Linked DNA regions of Diceros bicornis minor. The protein of the gene in region 1 interacts with the protein of each later gene in a pairwise test. Links are inferred from orthologs where the notes say so. Each region holds a gene or a part of one and is shown in the gene's direction. Other genes may lie near its edges.

Region 1 (10,067 bases):
TGCAGAGATGGAAGGGCTCCCCGGCCTGGTGTAGGGAATAGCCTGATAAGACATGTTTTTGGAATCTTCATATGTTTGCAATATGGCTGGTATATCCATTTTAAGATCTTTGGTGGAGGTGGAAGTATCTAGGTGTGGATTAAGGGAACAAGGAGCCTACTTCTTAACTAGTGTGTTCAAATACTGTTTTGAACAGTGCCAGCTATTTATTGCCAGCCCCTCTGGACATCCCACCCCAAAATCATCTTTTCTAGTACTAACAAGGTCTCTGGTCTTAGAAGCCTGCCTTCAATTCTGAGCTGTCCCCAGTGACTGCCTAGCCTTGGTGTTGGCTGCAACCTTCTGGTTGAACCATAGGGTTCCACCCTCATCTGGCCAGCCTGGTCACTTGGGGTAGTGGGTACAAATGACCCTTTTAAGAAGCAGGCATTAATGATCTCAGCTTTCAGGGACCCGACCCTTGATGTTCCCCCTTTTCCTAGAACTCTTAGATCTACTCCTTCTCTCTTTGCTGTAGAAGCCACTTTCCAGGAGCCCTGTTTTTTGGAACTGAACTGCACAGATTATAACTGCTTCTGTACTTAGCTAAGGAAGAGCAAGGAAGGCTCTCAGGCACTGACTTGCTATTTCTTTCAAGCCAAACCAGTTTAAAATGAAAATGGTCTATCAGAATGAACTGGATTTCCATTTCTCAAGTCTACTGCCTTCTTTCTACATCCTAGAGTTACCCCTGTTTCTAGCAAACTAGAAGGGAAGGAGATGAATGCCTGGGAATACTTCCTCATCCCACATGCCCCTCTTTGAAGGCCTCAGCTCATTTGTTCAGGCCACATCTCTTCTCAGTGAGACTCAGCTTGGTATCCATCATTTTGGGTATTCCTCAGTAGATTCATCTTGTGGGGTGAGATTCTGGATTCTCAGTTGAAGGCAGGGAGTCAGGTTCTCCAGGTCCCTGCAGGCACTACAGGGATACGTAGGGAAAACAGGCTGGTTGGGGGCCTCAGGAATGTGTATGACTATCTGCCTCTCTGGCAGGCTGGGGAAGGGTGCAAGGCTCAGTGCACTGAACTGAGGAAACGCTCATAACCAGTAGCAACATCTTCCAGGTAGGACTATCCAAAAAGTGAGTGTGAGAGTGAAAAATTGCCCAGAGTGGGTTTCTTCCACAGCCGTTTTAGGATTGCACATTCTAGACCAATCTTGTCCAGTATTTTTTCTTGTCTTAACTTTTGGATTCTGTTGTTAAGCCAACAAGCTGAGAATTTGGCTCTGCGGAGATCCATATGGTAGGCACTAGCTGCTCTTTGACCAAGGCCTTCCTAAATGATTCAGTCATCCCATTGTCTAGCCCCTAGCCCCACCCCCAGATTTAAGACCACGGCAAATGAAGAATTTGAGGTCAATACCAACCAAGTCTGTGAATTAAAGCTGTTATTTTCCTCTCAGAGGGCATTTTGCATCAGGCCTGGGCTATGTGCAGAACCAAAACTGGGTATGAGAGTTAGAAGAAGCAGTGTTAAATTTTGGGCCCAGAACACCCTGGGAGAAAGGTTTGTGTAGTGTGTTATAAAGGTCTTCAGTGGCTTTGGGCCTACCTCGCTACTTCTGGGCAAGCCTAACTGCTGACGTCTGCGTTAGCACATACCTGAACCCTTCTGCTAAACACTAGCCCTGCTCCCCTGTGTAGGTCAGATTTTCAGCCCCTGGGTTTGGGGAGAGAAAACTTGGCCATGCCCTGGGGGCAGTGAAGGAAGTCAAAGCTTAGAGCCTGAGACTGGCTAGGAACCTCTGACTCACAAGATGGCCTTAAAGAGCCCACCTCTACAAGAACCTTCAGGCCCTGGAGTTAGGTATTGGCCAGCTTTTGTGGGAACTGCCTTTGATTGAACCACTAAAGAAGTGAAGGGGCTGTGAGGTCTTAGCCACCCAAGACAGACTGGCTGTCCCTCAGAAACAGCTTGGGTTCCCAGCTACAAACCTAAGGAAGGTGAATCGAACCCTTTTCCTTACTGGTTTTTCTTTCCAAATTCATTTGCTTTTAGTTTTCCAAGAACTGTAAACTGGCTGTTTTCCATGTTCTCAGGGCCCCTGGGTAGACAGACAAAGCTTGATTATTTCAGAGCAGACATAGGCCAAGAAACCATGGCATTGAGTGTGCTGAGTCCAGACAAATGATATTTATATACACATCCAAATTTGAAGAGAAAATGTATTTCTTTAGGTTTCAAACACTGTAATAGATATAAAGCAAAAATAAAAACCTGTTGCAAAGTTCTAAATCGTCTTCTTTGGAATGATCCTAGATTTTGTGGAAGCGAATGAGGAGAGGGTGTTTAAACTTGTGGCCTAACAGTGGAATTAAGAATTGCAACAGCCTGCTCCTGCTATAGAGAATCTTTTTAAATCACCTTTATTGTAATATAATTGACATAGAGTAAATGGCACATATTTAAAATGTACAATTTGATAAGTTTTGGCATATACAATCAAGATAGTGAACATATCCATCACCTCTAGAAGTTTCCACATGCCCCTTTGGAATCCCTCCTTCCTGCCCGACCCCCAGCAACCACGCATCTGCATTTTGTCACTATAGTTTAGTTGGCATATTTTCTAGAGTTTCTCTAAAGGATTTTGACATCATTTCATCAGCACCATTCCACAGCCCTTTGAGCCCATTGAGGTCATACAGTTCACAACTACCCACTTCATTTTAGATCAGTTCCTAAAGCAGAGATTACAGACAAAAAGTTGGTTCAACCCAAAAGGAGGGTTTTGGTTGGCTGATAGAGTGTGTTTAAGGTTTAATTTGTTGCCAACATTTAAAAAAATAAAGATATATCTATCTTGAAAAATATCTGGCACTGCTGGGCCTGAGTTTCTGCTTGAAAACAATCTGCAAGAGCTCCATTTTACCACAATCACCGCCATTCTCAATGGTCTCCCTGACTGACTCTGGCAGATGCTAATATTGGTGATATTCTCTTTTACAGCAAAGGAGAAAGTAACTTTTTAACCCATGTTTCTATCAAATTTTCTTATTCCTTGCCTGCCTGCTCTACTCATTACCCAGGTGGCCCCTGTAGGCCACTGATGATCCTGATACACCACTCCACCCTTCACCCCATGCATACCTTGTTCTTGCTTATTATGTTCTTTATCTCTGCCTAGAACATCCTCTTCCCATGAAAATCCATCAAGGCTTGATTTATATGTTACCTTCTCAAGAAATTTCCAACGTGCTTCTCTGGAAATAAGCAGGGACTTGGTTTCGTGAGACCTGGATTCCAAACCTTTCAGAGCTTGAGTTTGACCATTATACTATTATACCATATTGCCTCTCAATGTTACCTGGAAAATGCAAACTCTTGCTGCCTAAGGGATGTGGAAGAGAACTGCCCTGAAGTCTCTAACTGGGGAAAATACTTAACATCTTAAGAGCCCTAAAACAATGCCCAATTTGCACAACAATTTAAAACTCTCTGCCTCCAGAATGATGCTAGGCTTTAGGACTAGAGAATTTAGCCAATGTCATTGTTGTTCTCGCAATGTCATTGACTTGTAAAGCAAGTAATTTCAACACCTTGTTACTAATGCTGTAATAAGACCTCTATCCAGACTTAGGGAGCCAGGACAGACTGCAGAGCACTGGGAAGGCTCTGAAGTGACCTTTGACCTGGACTTCAAAAGATTTTGTTTTTGCCAGAAGGCCGTTTTGGAAGGTGGAATAGCACCTGCAAAAACCTAGGAAATCCTGGAAATAAAAGTATAATTGGAGCAAAAAAGGCAGAGGGGATGGGCAGGATCGGCTAGAAACAGAAGCCAAACCATGTAGACATTAAATTCCATGTGCAAGAGTTGTCGGTTTTTTTTCCATTACCTCTAGGCAACTGGATAAAGAATTGTGATATCACTTGCGGAGAAAAGTTTGGCTTTTTTCCCCTTTAGCCCCAGTGCAACTGAGACTTTGTAGAGAATGAGCCAGTCAAAGAAAAGGCTCAGGAATCTGCTGAGGCCAAAATTCCCCTTACAGGGCCCCCTTACCCTTTCCAAAGAGGGACTCAAGCTGGTAATGGAGAGGGGAAAAAATATAACCTACTTTCACAAGTCACAAGTCATCGTCAGGGAAAGCGTCCCATGGTGGTTATTTCTTCTGGGTAAGAGGCAGGGTAGTCTAGTAGTTAAAGATGGGTGCTGGTGCCAGACTTCCTGGTCTCGAATCTCTGCTCTAACCATTCAATAACGATGTGACCTTGGACAAGTTATCTAACCTTTGCCTTACGGTCCTTGGCTATAAAATGGGAATAACAAATAGTACTTAGTTATGAGGATTAAGCTAGTAGACACTGAGAAAGCACACTGTAAGCGCTCAAAGAACTGCTATTGTTATTAAACGCTTCTATTTGAATACGGATATTGATGCCCTCGGATAAAAAAAAAAAATGCCAGGGGCCAGCCTGTGGCTTAGAGGTTAAGTGCTCGCACTCCGCTGCTGGCGGCCTGGGCTTCGGATCCTGGGCCCGCACCGACGCACCACTTCTCTGGCCATGCTGCGGCAGTGTCCCACATACAGCAACTAGAAGGATGTGCAACTTATACAACTATCTACTGGGGCTATGGGGAAAAATAAATAAATAAATAAAAATTGTTAAAAAGAAAAAAATGCCTGGTCACACAGCAAATTAGTGATGAAGTTAGGACTGGAATACAAATCTCCTGATTCCCAGCCCCAGTATTCTATCCCTTGTCCTCAGAGTTCCTAGATAGTCATAGATGTTCGCAGAAAGGGTGGAGGCATGTAAGAAAGAACAGCCAGGGGCAAGGCTTTGAGAGCTGAATCACAGCTTCCGCGTAATGGAAACGAGGTTGACGTTGATGTTTGTGCAAAATGACCTGCTTCTTTCGGACCTCCTGGGTATCGGGCTCCAAGACTAAACCCCTTCCTACTGCATCTTGGGAGTTGGGGTCAGCCCCAGTGCATGGAGGGACTTGTAGTCCTCTCCCTCCCCCGCCTTCCCAACTCACCGGCCTCAGAGGCTGCCTTCGCTTCATCTTTCCCAGCAAGCCTCGCGAGAGCGCCGGCTATTGATTGGCTGCGGCGGGAGCAGGCGGCTCTGCCGGCAGCGGTTACCCAGGGTTTCCGGTGCGAGGCCAGAGCGGGCGAAGCCGTCGGGACGTTGGCGTTGAGGTGGGTACCACGGCGGCTAGAGGGACGAGGCGATCAGACGGTCTGTGGACCTGAACCCTTTCGGCCAGTGCGGGGAAACACGCCGATTCTGCGCGAGAGCTCGGGCCGGGGGGCAGGGCTGAGACCTGTGCGCATGCGCGGGCGGAGCGCGCGGCTGGAGGGCGCGCGGGGTGTGGGTGGCTGCGCGCGGGCGCGCGCTGGGGGCCCCACGTGGGGCCTAGGGGGCGGGGAGGGACCGGCGATGGAGCGTCTCGCCACGTCAGTCTCGGTCCCTGAGCCTGTCCCGCGGTAGGCCTGCGTGAGGGCCCGTGTTGTCCCCGGGAAGTGGTTTCGGGAAAAAGGAGGCCTCTCCTTCCTCGCTCCCGGAGCAGCGCCCGGAAAACCTGCCTGGGCACACCAGGCTCCTGTGACTGGCTAGAGACAGGGGGAACCGTTGGCTCCCTCCGGGGAAGGCCGGCCAGTTTGTTTTAAGAAGCTTTGTGCGCCCAGTGTTGAGATTTCTGATCCAGGCTACGAAGAATTTCTTAGTCTGGAAAATAGCAAGTGTGCTTGTTTCTATAGGATCTGCTCCTAACCTAGCATTGCAAACCACAATGAAGAACCAAGACAAAAAGAATGGGGCTGCCAAGCAATCGGGCAACACTTCCAACCCAAAAAGCACCCCAGGGCAACCGGAAGCAGGACCGGAGGGAGCCCAGGGGAGGCCCGGCCAGTCGGCTCCTGCGACAGAAGCTGAAAGTTCCACCAGCCAGGCTCCAGGGAAGACTGAGGGTGTGTGCCAGCTCTGCTTTTCCAGCGGGCAGGGGGAGGAGTTTGTGATTCGCCAGTCTAGCTTCTGGAGTTAGAGGGCAGGGCCACTGTTTACCCAGGAAGGAGGAAATGTAGAATGAGAAGAGGACATTGCTGAGTCTGTGCGGTCCCCACCGTTTCCTGGGGAGTGGGTAGAGCCCCCACCCTAAGCACAGGAACAGAACTGTCTTGAGAGAAGGCTCTGACAGGATTAAATCAGGGAGCAGTCAGATGAGACACCTAGCCAGCAAATCCAGGTTAGAAACACCTTATTCACCAGTGGGTAACTGCTGTTCATATTTGAGGCATTTCTGGAACTTTTTTAATAGTAAGAAATGAGTTTTGCAGGGAGGAGAAGGGCAGGGACTAGACGTTGAACTGCTACATGCCATCCCTATGTTGGATGCTTTACTTACTTGATTTCTTTTATACTCAAACACAATCGGGCAGCAGTGAGAAATAATTATATCATTTTATAGGTAAATAAACTGAGGCTTAAAGATGTTAGGCAACATCTCACCCAAACTAGTAAGTTTGGACCTGAAAAACGCCAACCATTGGTATAACCATCTTATTTCTCACTCTGCTCCTCCTCCTCTCCTGGTGTAGGAGCACAAGCCAAAACTGCTCAGTCCGGGGCCCTCCGTGATGTGTCTGAGGAGCTGAGCCGCCAGTTGGAAGACATCCTGAGTACCTACTGTGTGGACAACAATCAGGGGGCCCCAGGTGAGGACGGGGCACAAGGTGAGCCTGCTGAGCCTGAAGATGCAGAGAAGTCCCGGACCTATGCTTCGAGGAATGGGGAGCCTGAGCCAGAGACCCCAGTAGTCAATGGTGAGAAGGAGACCTCCAAGGGGGAGCCAGGCACAGATGAGATCCGGGCAGGTGACGAAGTCGGAGACCGAGACCACCGAAGGCCACAAGAGAAGAAGAAAGCCAAGGGTCTGGGTGAGCAGAGGGCGGCTGCTTGTGAGGGTGCTGAGGGGGAGAAGTTTGGACCTGACATTCCTTGGGCTAGCCTGCTCTGCCAGGATTCAGAGGAAATCCTGCTTCCCAGAGCAGAGAGTCCCGCTAGTTTAATCAAAGCCAGTGCTTTGGGGCCATTGCATAGAAGTGTGCAGGTTGTTCACTGTGCAAGGGCTTCTGGCCTTGGGAGCAAGTAGGAACTGAAATCCAACTTACGCTCTCTGACAAAGTGGAGAGCAGGAGACCTGAGTGGGCTCCTGTGTCAGCCAGCACCATTTCTAACCTGCTCTGTGACCTTGGGCAAGACCTTTCTTCTCTCTAGTCCTTAATGTTTGTTTCTCTACAGTAAGAGAATTGGCCTAGACCAGGGTTGAAAACTCAAATGAGCCAAGCTAGCTGGGGGGCCCCATGAGGACCAAGAGAGTACCTACTTCATCCAAAGGGTTGACTGCCGCCTGGTCCCAGAACGTTGCATGTAAAACCACAGGCTAAGTGTAGCCAGCTTTTCCTTTTTGTTTTTTTTTAAGAAAAGCCATGGGCCGGCCCCGTGGCTTAGCGGTTAAGTGCGCGCGCTCTGCTGCTGGCGGCCCGGATTCGGATCCCGGGCGCACACCGACGTACCGCTTCTCCGGCCATGCTGAGGCTGCGTCCCACATACAGCAACTAGAAGGATGTGCAGCTATGACATACAACTATCTACTAGGGCTTTGGGGGAGAAAATAAATAAATAAAATTAAAAAAAAAAAAAAGCCAGAAATCTAGGGTTACATGAAATGTCCAGAATTCTAACATTTGGCAACTCATATGCTGGGAGCCAAACAAAACCCATCTGTGGGTTGGATTTGGCTTGTGTGCCAGCGATTTCCAGTCTCCACCCTGATCTCGGAGCCTCCCAGGGTTGACCCTTCAGGAGCCTCGTGCTGTACTCTGTACGCCGGCCCTCCAGGTGACAGTGGGAAAATTGGACTCAGGCTAGTGTATGTTAAAGAATCAAAGTTAGGTGATATTATGCCCATGTCTTAGTTCCTACTCCCCCACCTCTACCTGCCATTCTAATTTAAAGAGGGTGGTTTTTGTTGTTGTTTTTTCACCTTAGCATCAAATATTGGAAGGTATACTCATGTTAAAGTTCACTGTTTGGCTGCCTGTGTTGACGAGTCTAGTAGTTCTCAAGGAGACCTGTTCGTTTTTGCATCCTTCCTCTTTCAGAAGGACCTTCCTTATATTGAAACAGTAGCCCTGCATTCACTGGTGGGACACCTTTCTTTCATCTGTTGGTAGAGCAGGCAGTTTTTTTTCTTCCAGTCCTGGTGCTCACCAAGGAGATTCCACAGAGATTCAGTCATTCATTTCATAAGCATTTGCTGAGCCTGTCCTCTGGGGTGGGCGCTAGAGGCAGTACTGGGGCTATAGTAACGGGCAGAAATGAGTTGGTCCCAGCCCTCGTGGAGCACACAGTCTAGCAGCAAAGGCAGCCAGTTCAACAAACAGAAATATCAAGTATGATAAGGGAGGGCTGCCTCGGGTGGAAGATGGTGGGCCCAGGCCTGGAGGGGACCTCCAGAGAAGGAGGTACATGCCTTTGCTCCCTGTGCTTTGCAGGGAAGGAGATCACGTTGCTGATGCAGACGTTGAACACGCTGAGTACCCCAGAGGAGAAGCTGGCAGCTCTGTGCAAGAAGTATGCTGAACTGGTCAGTTCTCCCCCTTCTCCTCGCACCTTCCCTGCCTCAGAAGGTCAGCAGGCCACCTGGTGTGGGGTTTGGGGTGCAGGGGCAGGTGGGTGGCTTAATTCCTGTCCAACTTCTCTCAGAGCCTTTTGCGCGTCTGTTTAGTGGGGAGTCAGGTCCCAACCAGCCTCTTCAGGTAAGATGTAGAGTAATAGGAGAGGCTTCATGTTCCAGTGGTGGATCCCGAGCTCCTGGCCCGAGTCCCGGGTACCATCTTGTCTCGCCCGTGTGCTTCAGTATGCGTCCTCCCAAAATATGAAAACGCACGGTGCCATCATCACACTTCACAGAAGGAACACTAATCACTTGATAGTCTGTAATACCCAGTCTGCAGTCAGATTTCCCGCATTGTTTAAAAATGTCAGTTTGGTCAAATCAGAGTCCAAATGAGGTCCATTTATTATATTGGGTTGTTACGACTTTTTTTTCCTTTTACTTCAAAATAGTCTTCCTCTTCCTGCCCCTCTTTTTCCTATGACAGTGACTTATTGCAAATCAGTTGTCCTGTAGGATGCCCCACTTTGTAGCTTTCTGGTGGCATTTAAGTTGCTCCTTTATCCCCTGAGTTCCTGTAAATAAAGTGGAACTTAGCTCTAGAAGCTTGATCCAATTCAGGTTCAACTTCTCTAACAGGAATTTTTCATAGGTGGGTACTCGGAACTTCGTGTTGCCTCACAGGAGAAACCAAGTGTGGACATCTTACTTTTAGTGATGGAAGATTGTTCAGTGGGTTCTGATGGGCCAGCCAGGGCCCTCCTTTGTCAGGTTCCCCATCAGAATGTGAATTAACAGATTCATCCACTGAAGATCATTACTTAAGGACTTTTTTTTTGTGAGGAAGATCAGCCCTGAGCTAACATCCATGCCAGTCCTCCTCTTTTTGCTGAGGAAGGCTGGCCCTGAGCTAACATCCGTGCCTATTTTCCTCCACTTTATGTGGGATGCCGCCACAGCGTGGCCTGACAAGCGGTGTGTCGGTGCGCACCCCAGATCCGAAGCCAGGCCACCAGCAGCGCAGCGCATGCAGTTAACCGCTATGCCACGGGGCCAGCCCCTAAGGACTTCTTTTTAAATTCTTTCATTCCATTCACACTTATTAGCTGGAATTCTCCTATAAGGAACTTTTCTCATCTGTAAAATGGGGGAAGTCATACCTGTCTAATGGGCTTATTATAATGATTAAATAAAAGAAAGGATATGAAAAAGATACCTCCCTTTCAAAATGATCTAGCCAGGGAAAGATTGATGATGGAAGAGAGGAGGAAGTGAGTTGCTAGAGTGATGTTCAAGAGGAAATGAGAGGAGGTGAGGTCCGGGGTGCAAAGAGAGGGGTCCTCGTGGCTGGAGGAGAGGACAGGTGCAGAGGGCCCAGCAGGTATGGAGCTTGTGCCCCT
Region 2 (10,053 bases), on another chromosome or scaffold:
CAGCCGCGCTCTCCCCTCCGGCGGCGCCGGCTGGGCCCCGCCCCTTTCTCGGCGAGAGGGTGGCGCCGCGCGTCCACTGCATCCCGCCGGAAACTTCGCAGCAGCGCGGAGCGGCGGAAGTAGCGCGGCGTGGCAGTCGGCTCTTTTCCCGGGACGGGCGGCAGGGACAGAATCGGACCAGTACGCCTTGGCGGCAGCGGGCGAACACCAACGCTGTGCATCCAGACAGGCAGGGCCCTCGCCAACCACGCACGTGTTCCATCTCCCGGCTGCGGAGCCCAGCTCTTCCGGGTCACAGAATCAGCGCTCAGTTAGAGGACTTGATCTGTACCAGCATCGCCCCAACTTTCGAACCTCCGGACTAGGCACAGGCCCCCATCTTTTAGAGACCTAGGGCAGCCAAGACTTGCAAATACACCAGCGTCTACTGGCTAGGCTCAGCCACCCACACACCACTCTGCCGCACCAACCCCAGGGGATTTGGTCATCTTGAAACCGTGCAACCTGCTCCATCTTCCTCATACCTCAGAGGGTGGGGCACCACTAGGTGAAGGGCTGCTTCTGGCAGGGTGGGGCGTGGCAACACTACTGCTTTAACCAAGAGCAAAGACACTGATTGGGCAGCTGAGGGGGAACATCAGCGGAGAGAGGGGAAAGATGAACAGGGCCCAGAGTGATAGCATTCCCCATCACTGTCCCCAGAAGAATGGAGAGAACCACAAAGAAGGAAGCCATAGGTGTATAAACTATTTATTAACAGACAAAGCCTACAGATTTATTTCTTCTTAGACACACCCACAGTGCGGCCACGGCGGCCTGTGGTCTTGGTGTGCTGGCCTCGGACACGAAGTCTGCAGGTGAGAAAAGAAAAGGGTCACAGGTCATATACAACACAAAGAAAAGGTGGGGAGAGAAAATGGAGCCAGAGAAATCTCTGAGTCTTAGGGGCGGGCAGGCAGGATGAGACTCCCCACCCCTACTCACCCCCAGAAGTGGCGCAGCCCTCTGTGGGCCCGAATCTTCTTCAGTCGCTCCAGGTCTTCACGGAGCTTATTGTCCAGACCATTGGCCAGGACCTGGATTTGGAAGAGAAAGTGAGAGATGTGTTTTACCCCCTGACCTCCTATGACTGCCCAATTCCAGCTGGACACCCCGCCTTCCATTTCTCTAACGTCTCCCATCTCAATACACACCTGGCTGTATTTTCCATCCTTCACATCCTTCTGTCTGTTCAAGAACCAGTCTGGGATCTTGTACTGGCGTGGATTCTGCATAATGGTGATCACACGTTCCACCTGGCAGGCAAGAGAAGGGTCAGATCCAGATGCCCCCCTTCCGAGGTAGGCCCAACCCACACCCCCTTCCTTGTCTCACCTCATCCTCAGTGAGCTCTCCTGCCCTCTTGGTGAGGTCGATGTCTGCTTTCCTCAACACCACGTGAGCATATCTTCGCCCCACGCCCTGAGGAGAGGTTTTGGAATTGGGTTTGATTCTGATTTCCTTTATAGCCCCTACTCCAATCAAAAGCATAGAAAGGTAGGGCCTGCAATAACCTAGTGCTTTATACTTTCCGGATTGCCCCTGCCCCGCCCACTTTCCCAGATATGAAGCCTAACCATTACACAGAAAGGAGAAAAAGTTTTGTTCAGGGGCAGGGCTGGACCATGAACAGAGGATAGCTGATAGCCCCTTGAAAGCAGAATCTTTTCTTTTTTTCACAATGCCCAGCATACGCAGTTGTCAATAAATGCTAGCTGCTAGACACTGCAGCAGCACAGAAGAGGGGTACCTTTCAATTTCCTGCTGGAGGACAAAGGGCCTGGCTCTCGAAGCTGATGCAGCATCAAAGCAGCAACCCTTTTAACAGGGTTGAGCAAGGGGTAGGATTGTCAATGGCTCAGGGTCTTTAAGCCTCATGATTCTTTGGTCAGATCACCACATCCCCAGGATCCAAGTTCTCCAAGATCACAAACGATTTTGTTAGTGCCTGGAGATGACCAGGCCCTTGGAAGCTAACTGCCCAAATCAAACTCAAAGGAAACTAATGCTTACACTAGTGGCATCGTATCGACACCAACACTGTTACTCTTTGCCACCGAACTCATGAACCAAAGAGATTTGGACAGTGAAGGATGGTGTGCTGGGTTTAAGTGTCCCTAACCCCCTATATATGTCCACCCGGAAACTCAGAATGTGAACTTGTTTGGAAATAGAATCTTTACAAATATAATTAGTTAAAATGAGGTCGTACTGGATTAGAGTGTACCCTAAATCCAGTGTCCTTACAATAAAACGAGAGGACACACAAGACACAAAGAGAAGGCCACGTGGTAACAGAGGCAAGAGACTGGAGTGATGCAGCTCCAAGACAAGGACACCAAGGAGTGCTGGCAGCCGCCAGAGAAGAGGTGAGATGGATTCCTCGAGCCTTCAGAGCAGCATGGCCCTGCTCACACCTTGACTTGCGATGTGTGGCCTCCAGCACTGAGAGAACAAGTTTCTGTTGTTTTAAGCTAACAAGTCTACGGTAACTTGTTCTAAGAGCCCCAGTAAACTAAAACAGATGGTACTTCCTAGAAATAAGAATGTGACCTAGGAAATCAAATTATCAGGAGGTAGATTCAGAAAAGATTAGGGTCTAAGTCTCTCTCAAATTTAAATATTTACAGAAGCAATACTATGTCAGAAATACATCCTTTAAAACGAGTGGATGGGGAAGGGTGTAGATGAAACAAGATTTCTAATTTTTAGCTAGATGATACATCCATGGTGCCAATAATTCTCTTCCCTCTACTCTTGAATGTTTCAAATTTTCCACCAGCAACTGTTTTAAAAGTTGCTGTCAAACTAAGATTTTGAAAGTCCTGTTTACTGACTCCAGAGATTGGCTGGACAATTTCCTAAGTTAGATCCCCAGATCCACTGTTCTCTGCCCCAAGAACACTCCTGTTCTCTCCATCCAGAAGAGTGCACTACAGGGAACCATCACTTTCTCATCTTCATAGTCCAAGGGTCTGGAACATATAACAGTAGAGTTGATACCAACTTAATATTACTCTTGGAGTATTTAGAGCACTGTTACTCATGGGGGCACTGGCACTTTGGCAGGACAAGAATTCCTTATAAACAAGGCCAGCAGGTATGATGTTCCAGTCATTGTGACCAACTCCAAGCCCCTCCTCCCATGTTTCCAAATAATCCACAGATGGCAGTTACTACCCTGATTTAGAGAAAGGGCAGAAGACCAGCCAGCCTTAAAGAATACTCATAGCAAAGCCTCTAAGTGGAAACAAAACAATGAGGAAGAGATCACGGCATAAAATAATCTTGCAGGATCTGTATTACCTCTACAAAACGCCCTCTTCTGCTTGGGTCAACTTCCACTCCATTCTTCACCCTTCCCTGGCCAATTAACCTTGCTTACCACTTCTTTAATCACATCTTTTCAGGAATCCCCTCCCCACACTCAGCCACCACCCCCAACTTTCTTCCAATTTCCAAGTATTATCTCCCATACCACATCCTTAACAAAAGACCACCTCTACACTTTAGTTCTCTCACCAGAGGAAGAGCTTGCTGCAGTTGCTGGCTCTCCAGGTAACCAGCAAAAACCTCAGTACTCATCTATCTCTAGGAATAACCTTTCCCAGTGAAAAGCAGGGCATCAGGATCCCAAGAGTCTTCTTATCACAGTGCTCATTAAGTACCTGAAACTGCTCTGACAAAATTGTTTTAAGCTCACTACAGAGGTTATGACGTTTAATTAAACTAACAAATACAAAACCAGTTAATTTCAAAGAGGTAGAGAGAAAGGACTTAACAGAAGCATCCTATTAACTATGCTCATCTTTTAGATTCACTATCTCACTTAGGCCTCACAGCAACCCTTGAAAAAGGTACTGTACTTTCCATGGCCTTACTAGTTTCAGAATTACAGAAGGACGCAATCTCCTTATACACCATTTAAGAGCAAATGAAAAGGGCCAGCCCAGTGGCTCAAGCGATTAAGTGCGTGCGCTCCATTCCTGCGGCCCAGGGTTCGCCGGTTCGGATCCCGGGCACGCACCAACACACTGCTCGGCAAGCCATGCTGCGGCAGCATCCCATATAAGGTGGAGGAAGATGGGCACGGATGTTAAGCCAGGGCGAGTCTTCCTCAGCATAAAAAAGGAGGATTGGCAGACGTTAGCACAGGGCTGATCTCACACACACACAAAACAAATGAAAGCTATGCTTCCTGCAGTATAGAATGAAAAATTAAGAAAATCTAATTAATGTTGTAAGTCAAAGCTGGGATTTAGTTTTAAATTAACTTATCTATAAAATATTTATCATGGTTTCCTCTAAATTCTTTGAAACCAGGCCACAGTATCCCTAGTAACATCCACTCCCTAACACTGCATGAGCACCTATCATGCACCAGACGTTGGGGATTCTTCACAAGACAAGCCGATCCCCACCCCCACTGGTAGGAGAGGAAGACGTTCAACCATTTCCACAACTAATCACACCTATTTAGGGGGGGTAGATAGAATAATGTCTCCATCTGGAAGACCAGGAGTTCACTAGGTTGGTGAAGGGAGATCCAACCTTGCACTCAACCAACTTAATTCATGCAACAAGCCAAGTACTAGTTCCTGTTTCTGAAACGGGTACGACTTGCACCTCTGGCATCTGAGTCAACATCCTGCTCCTGATTTAGTGACCCCCCTCTCACCTCCCAAATATACGTTTCTTCACACTTGGAATCTGTTGGCATTTCTACTCACCCCTCAAAATGTACAATTATTCAATTTCCAGGGCATATAAATTTCACAGAAAGGATTACGGGTGTGATGGGGGGCGGGGCAGAAATCTACAATGGACCTCACAAGCTGATTGATGGCTCATGGTCCAGGAAAATTTTAGCAAATTCAGGTAGAACACCAAATCTACTCCCCATCTCCTAGGTGGAATATTTTGGCTTGACCTGAGACTATTCCCTGGCTTTCATACTTACCTTTTAGGGTAAACGTGGTATGGGTTTAAGGGATTTAATCACTCACTCATCCAGTCTCTTTTTTTTTTTAACCCAGTAGCCGAGGGGATCTGGTTGGGACTTATGTTTCCTCTACCCTGCCTCACTAAGACTTAGGTCCTAACAACCCGTTTCACTTATATTGTCTAGTTCTTACCCTGCTTTACCTTAATGGCAGTGATGGCAAAGGCTATTTTCCGCCGCCCATCGATGTTGGTGTTGAGTACTCGCAAAATGTGCTGGAACTTCTCAGGGATCACTAGAGACTGACAGAAATTTGGGGAGAAATCAGACACCGTGAACTACCACCAAACCGTAACCTCAAACAGGAGCGTTACGCTTGTCACACTAGGGGCCACGACTGCCCTTCAGGTTTTCACAACATAGCCAACTGCAGTCCTGCAGACAGCAGGATCACGAAGTGCTCAGGCTGGGGAAAATGCAACCTCTGGGAAGGGGCAAGTCTCCTGCCCGATCCCAAAAGTACTCTGAACGGCGGAGGCCGGAGGTCCCCATACACGCCCAAACTTTTCGCGGCTTCCGAGCGCCCGTGGACGGACTCTTCCTCTGGCCCCACTCCCAAAACTGGACGTCTTTAGGCGTCCCTTCCCAGGGGCACGATCCAAGGCTTCGCGCAGAAAGCTGCAGACCCCCAGAACGGGCCGTTCTCGGCCCCCCGATAGCAGACCTTCCCAGCCCCGGTTCCGATGTCGCCGGATCCCCGCACGGATTCCAGTCTTACCATGGCGGCAGACCTAGCAGCGGCGTGTAGGCCTCCTGTGGAAGAGAGAACGGAAGTGACGTAAAAGCATTATATAGTGACCAGGCGGAAGAGGCGGAGCGATCTTGGTGCAGCGCTTCCGGAAACTGCTTGTGCGCGAGCAAACGCGACTTCTGCGAGTCTGAATTGGGAGCCACAACTTCCGGTGCGTTCTCTCGTTACAGTTCGTCAAGATCTTGGCTGTGAGAGCAGCAAAGGTTCCGGCGTGAGATTGTGTTTAAGACTTCCCATTCCCATTTGCACTCGGATGAAGTGGTTAGAACCGAAAGGGGGAAGCTGGAGTCAAACAATTAAACTCAACTATCTGGGAACGATTTTGCGCTGTGCAAGACGCCCCAGGACTTGTAGTTCCTGTCCCGGGAAGCGACCCGCCGGACTGACAGCTGCCGGAAGTGAGGCTGCGCGGAATGGCCGCCGCCGCGACGATGGCGGCCGCCGCCCGGGAGCTGGTGCTGCGGGCCGGGGCCTCGGATATGGAGGAGGAGGAGGGCCCACTGGTGAGAACGCGGGGCGGTTCCCCTCCGGAGTCTCGGCCGGTCGTCCTCGCGTCAGAAGGGCCTGGGCTGGGTGTGGGACAAGTTGGGAGCTCGGTTGCTACCGTGATGATGCCTGGATTGGCTCCCCATACCTCTCCCTGTCATCGGACCGGAGCCTGAGCGGGGACCAGAATGGCCGAGACTGAGGATCCGAGGGAGCAATTTCAATTAACCTCCAGATTTGGGGGGAGAACAGACAAGCAGTGTAGTATAAAGGTTTAGAACATGCCCTCTGGAGCCAGACGGCCTGGGTTCTAATGCCTGCTCTGCGCTTACACACTGTGTCCTTGGCCGAGTTAACCAGACTTTCTGTGCCATCGCTTTCCACACCTGTAAGGTGAAGAAAATAAGAGCTACCATATAGGGTGTCGGTTAGGATTAGATGAGTGAGTATTTGGAAGATGGCACCGGGCATGCAGGTAAACACTATGTGTTAGCTGACGTTTCGAGAAAGGCTAGGGCTCCCCAGAGGGATTATGATAGAACACCTAAGATAGCAGGAGTCTGGGGATGCTAAATTCAACTGCAAGCTCTGCTCTGTCCTCTGCATCTCCTAATTTTCCTCATCTGGACACCTCCACACTCTTTGTGGGTTGCCTGTCTCCTTGTCATATTCCCTACCCATCAACCCCAAGGAGTAGATTCGGTACAATGTGAGACTCTTAGAATTTTTTGACTCGGTGCCTATGGCATCCTGTAAAAGCCCCGCCGCGAAGGATTGGGGATTATCCCATTATATTTTGTTTTCTCTCCTCCATGTATTCTCTCCCTTTAACCTGTCCCCCTCCAGGGGGGTGGTCCTGGTCTTCAGGAGCCATTGCAACTCGGAGAGTTGGACATCACCTCCGATGAATTCATCCTGGATGAAGTGGACGGTAAGGGATGGCACAGGGTGGATGCAGCGCCTATAATCTGAGAGGCGTGGGGGCTGGAAGTAAAAGGCAGCGATGGTGTGCAGATGTTCAGTGAAGGGAGAGGGAGCTGTGGAGCTGGACCCTTATGATTTACTTCTATTTCCAGTTCACATTCAGGCGAATCTGGAGGATGAGTTAGTGAAGGAAGCTCTTAAAACGGTGAGGCTTTCCACTATACTAATCTCCCACTAATTCCCTCCACCTACCCTCCCCTCAAAGAAAAGAAAAAGAAAACTGTCTCTTGCTCTTATAATGTCACCTTGGTGTCTTCCCCTCTAGTCCTTCGTCATTTCTGTTCTAGTTTCCCTTCACTGTGACTTCCTCCTGACCTGTCGTGTTTACATTCTCCCAGGGTGTGGATCTCCGTCACTATTCAAAGCAGGTTGAGCTGGAGCTTCAGCAGATTGAGCAGAAATCCATTCGAGATTGTATCCTCCAGCAGAGGAAAAGGGGGGTGTTATTAAAACGGATTTTGTGGGATGTGGTGCTGACAGCCCATGGGGCTGGCATCTTCTCTCGGAGGTTTCTGTCACCTCAGGGAGAAAGTGGAGAGGTTGTGTGGGTCTGAGCATCTCCATCTTCACAGTGAGGCCCCTTGACTTTTTGTGGGTCAGATATCCAAGAGAGTGAGAACATAGCCTCGCTGCACAACCAGATCACAGCCTGCGATGCTGTCCTTGAGGTTAGTAACCATGACCTGGGACCCCCAATAACCCTGAACCTGAACCCAGATCATGGTCTCTGGTGCCATTCTCTGGGTCTCCAGCCTCAGGGGGGACAGTTAGAGTCACTTTCAGGATGACCTCAATAGACTTTTTTATTGTTACTACCGTAACTAATGTTATTTGCCGGTGACCTTTGGGGTACCTCCTCCCTCATCACCCACTGCCCTCATGGACTAATAGATACTGGAGACTTAACGAAGAAACTTAGGTGGCCCACTTGTCCCCTACCAACCCTGTGGCCCTCCAGCAACATCTCCTGCCCTCCTGCAGCGCATGGAGCAGATGTTGGGAGCTTTTCAGAGTGACCTCAGCTCCATCAGCTCTGAGATCCGGACACTGCAGGAACAGTCAGGAGCCATGAACATTCGGCTTCGAAACCGCCAGGCAGTTCGGGGGAAACTTGGGGAGCTTGTCGATGGTCTGGTGGTGCCCTCCGCTCTGGTCACGTGAGTCACCAGTTTGAAGGGCCACAATATCTATGGCAGGTAGATGGGCTGGGGTGGCCTGCCCTACTTACCACATGGGTCTCCTGGCTCCAGGTCATCAAGTGCCTTCCAGAAACTGATGAGTGGGTTGACAACTCTTTCTAACACTGATGCATGCTTTAGGCATCAAAGATTAGGAATCACCAGGGTCAGGCATGTAGTGAGGGGGTCCAAGGCTTATGGGGGGGTGGTTCAGGAACAGAAAACTTTGTACCCATGTCCTGACTGTGTGATACAGTGTAAGATGGGAAGAGGAGACAGGCTGGATGTAGGGGGTATGGTTTGGAGTCTAGGGATGTCTGGGTCTCCCTCCTAACCCAGCTCACCCTTTCCTGCTATTCAGGGCAATTCTGGAGGCGCCAGTGACAGAGCCCAGGTTCCTGGAGCAGCTGCAGGAGCTGGATGCCAAGGCGGCCGCAGTCCGGGAGCAGGAGGCCAGAGGCACAGCTGCCTGCGCAGATGTCAGAGGCGTGCTCGACCGGCTCCGGGTCAAGGTGGGGAGTGGGACTGGATACTCTAGAAACTACTAGAACTAGCTTCCCTGAGACCTTCATCCTGGATTTCCCTGGCAGAGCTCATTGTAGCTTGCCCCCAAGAACTTCACCCTGCCTTTACTTCCCATCTCTGGGTTCCCTTGAAAATCTTAAGAAATGCTGAATAGGGATTCTCCACCCTTTCTCCTCCTATATTTAACATTTGTCACTTCCCCCACTGCCTCCCAAATGGTAAGAAGGTTGCAGGTTCATGCCTTTGTTTGGTCCCTCACGTCTAGGCAGTGACGAAAATCCGAGAGTTCATCCTTCAGAAGATTTATTCCTTCAGAAAACCAATGACCAACTATCAGATCCCCCAGACGGCCCTGCTGAAGTACAGGTCGCCACTCGAAGGAAGGGCTCGGGATGGCCTCTGAGCTGCGAGCAGCCCATTGTGGTGTCTGGTTTCTTGGGCAGGCAAGGAGACTGACTCGTCCCTGGCCCCCCCAGGTTCTTCTATCAGTTCCTGCTGGGCAATGAGCGAGCCACAGCAAAGGAGATGAGGGATGAATATGTGGAGACGCTGAGCAAGATCTACCTGTCTTACTACCGCTCTTACCTGGGGCGGCTCATGAAGGTGCAGGTGAGGCCAGAGGCACCTGGGCACCTGGGCTGGGAAGAGGGGCCACTGCTGGGCAAGGGGGGACAATGTAAAAAGAAATTTTTTTATAATACCATGGGAAGAGACGCTTACCAGTTCTCTGTTTTGTTTTCTCTAGTACGAGGAAGTCGCTGAGAAGGATGATCTAATGGGCGTGGAAGACACAGCAAAGAAAGATATCCTAGAGCTGAGGCACCCTCATGCTAGGCCGAGAGAGTGAGGGGGCTTCTGCCTCTAGTCTCCAGGGCACTGCTGCTTACCTGTTTCTGTGGGACCAAAAGCTTCAAGAATATGTTAAAGGCTATGGCCTCTCTCCCTAGATGAAAGCACATATTATCTTGACACATAATTTTGCATATCATGTCAGGGAGTATGGAGGCTGTCTGAAGCCCATTCACAGATGTCAGGTGCAGTGGCACCCTGGTACTGGGAAAGAGGGACATCTAGGCTGTGTCTGGCTG
Region 3 (10,637 bases), on another chromosome or scaffold:
TAGGCATTCTTTGAGCCTAGATTGAAGTTGCATTATTTTAGAGAGGATTTGAGCTTCCTGTGCCAGCTGGCTGAGGGCATCACTGATCAGAAACCACTCTAAATTAAATTCTAGACTTAAGATTTTCAGATTACACACAGACACAGGTAAATACAGACAACAAATTTGTGTCAGGCCAGCTGTGGTTATAAATTCTCAGGGAAGTTTTATTTTTCCTCTGCACCAAGCACCAAAGTTGAGACAGACTTTTTCCTTACTGTACCCTTCTGCATGATGGCTTTATTTACCATGTACCCTTACTCTGAAGGCATAGTTCTTTGAGATACTAGGTTTATGTGAATGTTCCCTGTTAGTTTTCCCACTTTAGTCAGGCCCTAGACTCTATATCTTATCTCCTGTGCCCTTACAGACATCATAAGAGAAGCTCAAGATTCTCCATGATTAAAACCCACAGAGTACAAGACAGCTTTCTCACTTACTTGTCTCTTACGGGTCCTGTTTTCATTTCCTTTTTGATCTCTGAGAAATCTTTCCTTTCATAATAGGTCTGCAATAAGTTTGAAAAGATAGATAGATAGATAGATAGATAGATAGATAGATAGATAGATAGATAGATAGATAAAGGAAGGACAGGAGGGTGAGAGGGGGGAAGGCAGGGAGGCAGGAGGGCAGGGAGGCAGGAAGGCAGGAAGGTGGGAAGAAAGGCAGGAAGGAAAGAAGGAAGGAAATAGACAACAATGCACTTTAGTTGTTTCCCTTGGAAACATTTGGGATAGGGACATTAGGGGTATCTAGTCTGCCATACTCCATGAAATTGAACTCCTGGGTTGCAACTCTTTTACTTCTTAACACGACTAGCAGAAACAGCAGTCAATGGGCATGAAGAAACTCCCCACACTGGCAAATGCTTCTTCTCTCCTTGAAGTTGGGCCTCACACTTTTATTTATTCACTCATTCATCACTAATATGGCAAGTCAATAGTGAGTGCCTACTATGTTTGAGCCACTATGAGACAACAAATCTGCCAACTTATTGAAGCACAGCAGGGCGTAATTACCAAATAAATACAAATCAAAACCTAAATACGCCAGATTGTGAAAATACAATAATGTAAGTTTACTACATCAGCATCTTAAAACGTTTCATTATATAAATTTTCAAACAAATACTAGAGTAGTTAAAATAGTATAATGAATCCCCACAAACCCAGTGCCCAGCTTCAACAAATAACTCATGGCTGATCTTCCCTTATCTATATTCCCACCCTCCTTCTCCACCTCATATTATTTTGAAGCAAATTGAAGACATCATATCATTTCACTTGTAACTATTTGAGTAAGTACACTAATTTTTAAAGCACAGAGGCCATGATTTTTTCTGACTTAACTTTGTGTGGTATCTAGAACCACAATGCCTACAAATAACCACAGTTCCTATATGCCATCCTTCTCAACCAATGGAAGCAACATATCCTAACTGAGATGCCTGGGGAAGACAACCCCCCCAGAGACTGTAGATTCCGTATGTATCATATCTGGGCTGCAATAGCTTGTCCTTAATGGAAAAAAAAGTTGAAAGTCCTCTGAAAACTATAGTGTTTATGACAACTCTCCAAATTACTGGCCATACTTAATACTAATCATTAATGACCTCAGCAGAGTCTGCCTTGGAGGTCAAAATGCACCTCCTATTAGCCACAAGGAAGTTGAGATCTAATAAATATTTATTTACAGATGCAATCATCCAACAGCCTGGAATATCAAGGGCTCTAAATACATGACTTGTGCATGAACAAGAGTCAATAGGATCTGTATCTAATCCTCAGGTGTAATTCAGAAAAATTAATTGCTATGAAATACTAGCCGCATTTCTCGTGGTCACATTATAAGATATAATAATCTACCAAAGCGTAAAACTCAACGTGATAGAGGAGCCAGCAAATTCTCCCGCCCTTACATAAGCATGTGGAAGTCTTCACAGTAAAAATTTTCCTACTCCAACAAATGAGTAGTTTGGATGACTGAACCCTACCATGATATCCCTACTGTATTATATTTTACTTTCAATTTGGAATCTCAAAAAGCTACAAATACTAGCCAAAAAATGGTGTAATAACACATAGTTATTTCTCCAAAAAATTTCTCCAAAAAAAAGTTATTTCTCCAAAAATATTAAAAATGATTTTAATCATTTTTTTTCTTTTTGGTGAGGAAGATTGGCTCTGAGCTAACATCTGTGCCCATCTTCCTCTATTCTGTATGTGGGATGCCGCCACAGCATGGCTTGATGAGTGGTGCGTCGGTCTGTGCCCAGGATTCAAACCTGCAAACCCTGGGTGCTAACTTAACCACTACGCCACCAGGCCAGCCTCCTGATTTTAACCATTTTAATGAGAGTTTAACTCTGTCACTTAAATGTCATTGGGTTCAGCCATAAGGAAGAATTGTGCTAAACAGAACAAAAATTATCATGCTTAGTAACTACACTTATATTCCTTTCTAGTTATAAAGCTAATTCTTGATTTAAATAATGCTTCTACGCACTGTGGTCATATGCGTTAGTGTATGAAATTCTTAGCTGAAACTAACTCACTGCAAAACTTGTGTAATTTAAACAATACAATTTTCCAATGACTTTAATCAAACAACCTGCTTCTCCTCCACTAAATGACAACAAAAAATACATTAATTTTGTGAATACACACATATAGAATAACACAGTCCATGTGCTTGTAAAAAGTTCTTCACTGCAGATTTTAGCTGTTACATCTATTTGCAAAGTAATTTACAGCTCTGTGACAAATGGCAAGATCTGCTAATGACATGTTCAGTCACTGGTGGTGTGGGCTGATGCATATAGGAGTGGATAAAAATATAAGTAAGAGCTGTCCACACATATACCACACAGTGCGTGAAGTAGGATTAACTCTCTCTGGCAATTTTTTCTTTTGTAATATAACTGAAGCAAAGTCTAATACAAAGTATTATTTTAAAGCATACTATTTATAAGAGGGAAATAATATAGTCTTACCTTATTTTAGAAGAGGGATATTGGGGGAAAAAAAGAAAAAAAAACAACTCATAGTCAAAAGTAAAAAAGCCATTGGTTTTCAGTGGAAGAAAAACAATGATGACAAAAATAGGCCACTAAATCAAGTAAATTGCCAGTTCTTCAGAATGTGTAGGGAGTTTGGATACGCCTTTTTTAGGTTTTTTGTTTTATTTTCCTTTTTTGTCTTTTTGTTTACTCGCTTGCTTTAATCATATACAAACCTCAATTCAATTAAAGTATCAGGATGAGAATTAGTGAGATGTTTTCTGTGACTTTCCCAATCCTTTCCATTTAACTTGATTAAGGAAACAATTTAAATGTTTCAGGGGAGGTGTAAAATTTTGGGCCAGGGAGTTTGAATAAGGGGGAGCAAATGAAAAAATTCTGTTCAGCTGAACAGTGTTCATCAGATGCCCACTGGTGAGATCACACCCAGAGCTCAGCAAGTATCCGGAGGTTGACACACTTGCAGGGGCTTCAGTCCAACCGTGGAGGCTGGATGGAGCCCCAAGGTACTGCACACTCCCACTGCCCATACATGGAACTGCTCTGCTCACGCTGTGAGTGTGGGGACCTGTGGGGAAGATCAGGCTACAGTGGAAGCTTCTGCCAGTGAAATCCATTGGGGATTCTAGTGGGGAGCAGCTGTAGCTTCAGGATGGATGGAGCAGGGTCCGTCTCACGGTGGGTGTTGAGCTGACCTTATACAGAGGGGAGAGACTCCTCCACACACCAGGTCAGGTGCAAATCACTATGCTATTATTCTAAGTTTCTAGGGAATGAGACCTAATGCCAGGCAGTGACTGAGAAGTTAAACGCATTATCTAGTCTTAGAAGATTAGAACTAGGAAAAAGCTTCAAAATCATCTATCCACCACTCACCTAAATTCACTTAATTCACTTCCCCAAACTAAGTCTCCAAATGTATAAATGTTTCATTCCTGTTTTACATATTCAAGGTTTTATGCTTGTACAAAATATTTTTATAGTCTTATAAAATATAATCTCGAAACAGGGATAAACTTAAAAGCCAAAAAAAAAGCATAAAACAGAGAATCAGAAGAGTGATTTATCAATACATATAAACCCTTGTTCTTACGCAAATCAAAACCACAATGTGATATCACCTCACAACTTTTAGGATGGCTATCATCAAAAAGACAAGAGATAATAAATGCTGGTGAGGATGTGGAGAAAAGGGAACCCTGGTGCACTGTTGATGGGAAGGTAAGTTGGTGCAGCCACTCTCCAAAACAGTATGGAGGATCCTCAAAAAATTAAAAATAGAACTACCAGGGCCAGCCCCATGGCCTAGTGGTTAAGATTGGTGCACTCCACTTTGGCGCCCAGGTTCGGTTCCCAGCCACAGACCTACACCACTCATTGGTAGCTATGCTGTGGCGGCAACCCACATGCAAAATAGAGGAAGATTGGCACAGATGTTAGCTCAGGGTGAATCTTCCTCAGCAAAAAAAAAAAAAAAAAATAGAATTACCACATGATTCAGCAATCCCACTTCTGGGTATATATCTAAAGGACAAGAAATCATTATCTCAAAGTGATACCTGCACTCCTATGTTCACTGCAGCATTATTCACAAGAGCCAAGGTAGGGAAACAACCTAAGTGTCCATCAATGGATGGATGGATAAATAAGATGTTTTATATACAATCATGTCCCACGTAACGACATTTCAGTCATCGACGGACCACATAGACAAGGATTAGTACCATATAGCCTAGGTGTATAGTAGGCCATACTATGGCCTACTATAGGTTTGTGTAAGTACACTCTACCCTGTTTGCACAATGATGAAATCGCCTAATGACACATTTCTCAGAACATATCCCTGTTGTTAAGTGACACATGACTGTATTGCATATATAATGAAACATTATTCAGTCATAAAAAAAGAAGGAAATGCTGCCATTTGCAACAACATAAATGGACCTTTAGGGCATTTTGCTAAGTGAAATAAGCCAGACAGAAAAAGACAAATACTGCATGGTATGACTTATATGTGGAATCTTAAAAAAAAGTCAAGCTCATAGAAACAGTGGTGTCCAGGGGCTGGGGGTGGGGGAAATAGGGAGAGGTTGGTAAAAGGATACAAACTTTCAGCTGTAAGATGAATAAGGTCTGAGAATCTAATTTAAACATGGTGACTAATAGCCAAGACTTAGAAGCAACCTGGGTGCCCATCAAGGGAAGAATTGATAAAGAAGATGTGGTATATATACACAATGGAATACTACTCACCCATTAAAAAGGATGAAACCTTGCCATTTTTGACCACAGGGATGGACCTTGAGGGCATTATGCCAAGCAAAACAAGTCAGAGGAAGAAAGTCAAATACCATATAAACTCACTCATAAATAGAAGATAAAAACAACAACAAACAAACACATTGAGACAGAGATTGGATTGGTGGTTACCAGAGGGGAAGGGGGGAGGGAGGAGGGCAAAAGGGGTGATTAGGGACATGTGTATGGTGATGGATTATGATTAGTCTTTGGGTGGTGAACATGATGTAATCTACACAGAAATTGAAATGTAATTATGTACACTTGAAATTTATATAACATTATAAACCAATGTTACCTCAATAAAAAAAAAAAAGGATCTGAGTAGCCACAGTAAACAAGCAGAACAGAATTCCTCAGAATACTTTTTCACGTGATGTTCAGGGAACACTTCCAAGAATGCAGTTCTAGTCACAACAGGTGGAAGACTAGATCCAGCAGGAATTATGCAGAGAACTGAGGCTGTTTCACCTAAAAAAGGGAAAAGTGGAGCAACCTCAGTCCTCAAGCCTATGACAGATTATTGTAAATAAGATGGAAACCGGGTGGTTTCTATACACACTAATAAAACAAGAAGAAAACGACTACACTAAAAAAAACAATAAAAATAAACATGGTGACTATAGTCGAAAATATTGTATTGTATAATCGAAATTTACTAAGAGAACAGAACTTAAATGTTCTCACCAAAAAAAGAAAGATAAAAAAAAAATTTTTTTTTAAACGTTCTTTATTGCCAGTGTGACTTACTACTTTGCACCCACATCTGTCTTTTTAGGTACCTAAATTATTCATAAAGATTGCAAATATTCATTATGTGTATATTAGGATAAAAAAAATCTGCCCAGGCAGGTGCACAGGCTAAAAGAATACACCTTCCTGTTTCCTTTTTTTTACCTCTGTTTAAAAAAAGAAATCACCCCTGAGCAAAGCTTCTAAGAAATGCCTCTAGTGGTAATTTCTGGAATGGAATTAAACAGATCGCTGTACAAAGGGGAAAAAAAAGAGCAAAGTAAGATGGACTGTGATGTCAACCCTAAGGTGAAAGGTCAACGGAGGAGGAGTTTTTTTCCTGTGAACTCTATAAAAGGTCAGCTCATCCACCGCAGAGAAACAGGCCCGGCTCCATCCATCCTGAGGCTACAGCTTCTCCCTCCTAGAATCCCCAATGGAATTCAGCGCCAAAAGCTTCCAAAGAAGCCTGAGTTCCTCCTCGCAGGGTCCTGCACTCAGCATTAGGAGCTCCATGTATAGGAGGGGGGGCACACAGCACCTCGGGGTTGCACCCAGCGTCTATGGGGGAGCTGGAGGCCATGGCACCCGCATCTCGACCTCCAAAGGCACAGTGAGCTATGGGAGCGACCTCTCCCGAGGGGACCCATTTTTTGGCAATGAGAAGATGGCCATGCAGAATCTAAATGACCGGCTAGCAAGCTACCTAGAACAAGTGCGGTCCCTGGAGCAGTCCAACTTCAACCTTGAAAGGCAGATCAAGCAGTGGTATGAAACAAACGCGCCTACCACCAGTCGGGACTACAGTGCGTATTACAAACAAATCGAAGACCTGCAAAATCAGGTGAGAGAGGATGCCTGTGTTTTCTACTCCATTGTTTAGGTGCATAATATATCAAGAGGGCATATACGTTAGGTGGTCCAAATGGACGTTGTAAATCAAATTGGGCTGAAATGCTACATCTATAAAAGTGGTATATTCTATCATCTACCCTTAGTGCTGGAGTACCTGACTACACAGTGGGATGACTTGTAAATCATACTGTCTTAAAATTTTTTAAATCTAATTACATAGGAAATATGAAAATTTTATCCTCCAATCTTATAATCTCTATTTTTTTCGCAGTTTACCAGCTCAGGGCTAAGTGGATAGTAAATATTTTTTCTGAAAAGAGCTAAAATTTTTTGTATGTGATAATGTCTTTTTAAATTTTTTCACCTAGTTCCAATGAACTTTTGAAACCCCAGCCAATTTAGAGATTTTCCTCCTTTTATTTATGTAAATGTCGTAGTACAAGTATTAGAATACTGTGTCGTAGATTTCCATGATAAAGTGATTCAGGGAGGAAATGGAGGGAAGGGGTTTAGGTCCTAACGATACCCGGATCTTTAAATGTCCTGTTTAATAACCTGATCATCACCACCAAGCAGTTGGGAAACCACTTCTACAGTAATAAAATGTTCAATTACCCCAATTCAAATTTATTGCAATCATATCAGAACCTGCTCCCATGTCATCCAAGAAAGGTGGAGTTCTCTGTTTTATCACTTATCTGGAATAAAAGAAGAAGACTTTGCTCCTCATTGAGGATTTCAGATATGACACTGAGCACTTGCTCTGCTTTAAAATTCTTATCTAATCAAGAAAAAGTGTCCCTTTCGTTTTCATTTCTATTTTAACATTCGTATTCCTTTAGAGCAAAGGCCACTCACTTACCAGTAAGTCTCTTTTTCTGGCATTGTAACGGACATCAGTATGATTTAATTCAGATTCTACAGGAAGTTACTTTGGGGTTTCAGGCACTTACGGATGTGTGAGGCAAAGGTGTTTAAATCACCCTTTCTGCCAACAGGTCCTTCTTCTCAGACTCCCACTAAAAACATTCAAAATCAGCCAACCATTCTCCCCCACCTATCTCACGATTCACGTTTCTGCAGCTACTTTGGATCACCCCAAACACATAGGCACAGCCATCCGTTCCATTTAGCTGGGCAGATTCAGTATATGAAGGAAGGCAACCCTCTCCAGAACTGGATCTGCTGAAAGAGATACGTCATTGTAACATGTTCTACAAGCAGACTTCTGATCCACATGCATCTTAGAGAATTCACCCAGTTGAAAACCACTTCTTAAGATCAGGGACTTATCCATCCTGATAGCCTCAGTGCCCAGCACAACTCCCACCACATAGCAAGTTCCCATTCATTCAGCCAATATTTAGCAGACACTAACTAGGTATTGGCACCACACTGGCACTGGAGTATATGGTGGTGGACATAATATGATTTAGGGGGAAACAGGCATGGACAAAGGCAACATTTATCCCACACAGAGGGAAAATGCTAGCATGGAGGGCTGTGTAGGGCAATGAGAGCACAGGCAGTTCTGTTTTGAGGAAATCAGTGACGGCTTCCTTAAAGCAATGATGTCTAAGCTGAGACATGGAGGAGGAGGGGAAGGAAGAGGAGGGGGAGGAGGAGGACTTCACCAAGTGAGAGGGGCTCAGAGGAATGGTCTAAGCAGGAACAACATCAAAGACAGGGCACTCAGTAAGCTTTGATGGCTCAAGTTGAATTAAATTCTCCTTTTGTAAAAGCACAAGAAAGCTGACCAACCCTGGGGACTAGAGTTGCATTTTATGACTCTATTGTGCTAAATACCCATATCATTATTTCTCCTTTCTACTTTCATGTGGAAATTCTTGAACACCATCTTTCGTATAATAGTGGTTGGAGCTGAGGATAAACTCAATCATTTTAAGCTCTATCCAGTTGAAACTGTCGTTTTTTTCTCATGTATTTTCCAGATTAAAGATGCTCGACTACAAAATGCTCAACGTGTCCTGCAAATTGATAATGCTAAACTGGCCGCCGAAGACTTCAGGCTGAAGTAGGTTCTTTAATATCATGGTAGAACTTCCTGAAAAGGAACTCTTTTTAGTAGTCCTTCATGACACTCAGCTTTCCATATTATTGTTGGTAAAGGAGCTACCATTAAATATTTTCAGAATCTTGGAATTTAAAGGTGTTAGAAGATATCTGGTCTAACCCAGCACTCAGGGCTGGACTTCTCTCTCCCACAATCCTAAAATCCGGTCACCCTGCATGTAACTGAACACCGCCAGTAACTACTACTGTTTTCCTTGATTAGGTCTGGTTGCTAGAACTTTCTTTTTTAGTAACCTGGCATCTACCTTTTCACTCACTGAAGCTAACTCTGCCCTTTGAAGTAATAACAAAGCAGTTTACAACTCCCCGTCTGCATAAGTGCCCTTCTACTACCTAAAGGAGCCATCTCTCTACCCTTAGTGATTCTCCAAGTGAGCCATCCATGTTCCTTCAAGTGCCTACAAGTGCATGACCCAAGTTCCAGGGATGCTTTCGAGTTTGCCAGAGTTTTACAGTACACTCTAACTGACCAAAGAACTAGGACTAGGATCAAAGCAGTTCAAAATGCGTTCACTCTCTTGTAGTCATTTCACACTACCTGTGACCAGAGCTGTTCCTCATAAAGTGCTTCTACACTAGGGCTTCCTCATCCTGAATTTGTACAATGCATCAGCACTAAAAAGTCTGTTGTGATTTAGAAGCTTAGCATTTTAATGCTACAAGGAATCAAAAAGAAGGAAATGGGAAAGGAGATCTGAAGATTAAAGCAATAAATGTTCATTAATTTCAATTTTGCTAAGTCAGCATCTGAGTGTTCCATTGCATTATCATTTTTTTAAAGTGAGCTACTATAATAAAAATGGGAGTTTATGAGATTATAGAGGAGAATGTGTGAATTTTTAAGATAATTCACTTTGGATGCATCTGTTTACAAAATACTAAAAATAAATTGATCATGTACCTTCATTAAGTAGATCTAACTAGCCATTATTTAATATCAATAATGAAAACCCTTTGATAACACAGTAATTAAAGGAAAAAATTTTTTTATTTCTTTTAAAATATATTCTAGAATTTAGGAACTTTTAGAAGTTATTTCAGGTTGCTTTTTTGCCAATCACTCCAAATCACAGAGATTACATTATGGAGCAAATTATCAGATTCCCAGGTTCTCATGAATATTTTTGGAATGTATAAAGGGGGACACAATAATGTAATGAAATTGATCTCCTTGTATATCACATAAAACTCTATCTCATTATATTAATATTATCACTTCCCTAATGGCTTCAGAAGAACTCAATGATCTCTGCATACTTATTAATTCACAGGTATGAGACTGAGAGAGCGATTCGTCTAACAGTGGAGGCTGATCTCCAAGGCCTGAATAAGGTCGTGGATGATCTAACCCTACGAAAAACAGACTTGGAAATTCAAATTGAAGGATTAACTAAGGAACTGATTCTCCTCAAAAAAGAACATCAGGAGGTGAGAAAATATTCAGAAGTGGTATTGGGAATGATAGAATGGCTCTAATAATAATAAAAAGGAGGAGAAGGAGGAGGAAGAGTTGGTGGTGGTGGTGATGGTGAAGACGATGACAACAATAATGACATAAGCCCTAACTTCTTTTCCTAAGGTTGCTGTCAGGGTTAATGAC

The links.
Region 2: the proteins of TXLNA (region 1) and VPS52 interact in binary tests that used the Homo sapiens proteins (3 or more experiments, as listed by UniProt). The two-hybrid records come from large-scale screens. The link is inferred for Diceros bicornis minor from reciprocal best matches to the Homo sapiens genes TXLNA and VPS52.
Region 3: the proteins of TXLNA (region 1) and keratin, type I cytoskeletal 20-like interact in binary tests that used the Homo sapiens proteins (3 or more experiments, as listed by UniProt). The two-hybrid records come from large-scale screens. The link is inferred for Diceros bicornis minor from reciprocal best matches to the Homo sapiens genes TXLNA and KRT20.

Annotation. Positions count from the first base shown.
Region 1 is NC_080752.1:46,972,366-46,982,432, forward strand, and holds the start of TXLNA (alpha-taxilin), read left to right. Parts: upstream 1-5,086; 5' UTR 5,087-5,188; intron 5,189-5,483; exon of another isoform or gene 5,484-5,749; 5' UTR 5,750-5,781; coding exon 5,782-5,959; intron 5,960-6,586; coding exon 6,587-6,925; intron 6,926-8,545; coding exon 8,546-8,637; intron 8,638-10,067. UniProt on the Homo sapiens protein: May be involved in intracellular vesicle traffic and potentially in calcium-dependent exocytosis in neuroendocrine cells.
Region 2 is NC_080753.1:31,183,283-31,193,335, forward strand, and holds the start of VPS52 (vacuolar protein sorting-associated protein 52 homolog), read left to right. Parts: upstream 1-5,940; 5' UTR 5,941-6,205; coding exon 6,206-6,295; intron 6,296-7,124; coding exon 7,125-7,209; intron 7,210-7,354; coding exon 7,355-7,407; intron 7,408-7,600; coding exon 7,601-7,676; intron 7,677-7,862; coding exon 7,863-7,930; intron 7,931-8,243; coding exon 8,244-8,419; intron 8,420-8,801; coding exon 8,802-8,952; intron 8,953-9,230; coding exon 9,231-9,331; intron 9,332-9,441; coding exon 9,442-9,574; intron 9,575-9,710; coding exon 9,711-9,768; intron 9,769-10,053. Other genes in the region: RPS18 (small ribosomal subunit protein uS13), read right to left, coding at 776-851, 985-1,076, 1,194-1,295, 1,375-1,461, 5,185-5,283, 5,706-5,762. UniProt on the Homo sapiens protein: Acts as a component of the GARP complex that is involved in retrograde transport from early and late endosomes to the trans-Golgi network (TGN).
Region 3 is NC_080757.1:40,304,339-40,314,975, reverse strand, and holds the start of keratin, type I cytoskeletal 20-like, read left to right. Parts: upstream 1-6,524; coding exon 6,525-6,932; intron 6,933-8,895; coding exon 8,896-8,978; intron 8,979-10,308; coding exon 10,309-10,465; intron 10,466-10,637. UniProt on the Homo sapiens protein: Plays a significant role in maintaining keratin filament organization in intestinal epithelia. When phosphorylated, plays a role in the secretion of mucin in the small intestine.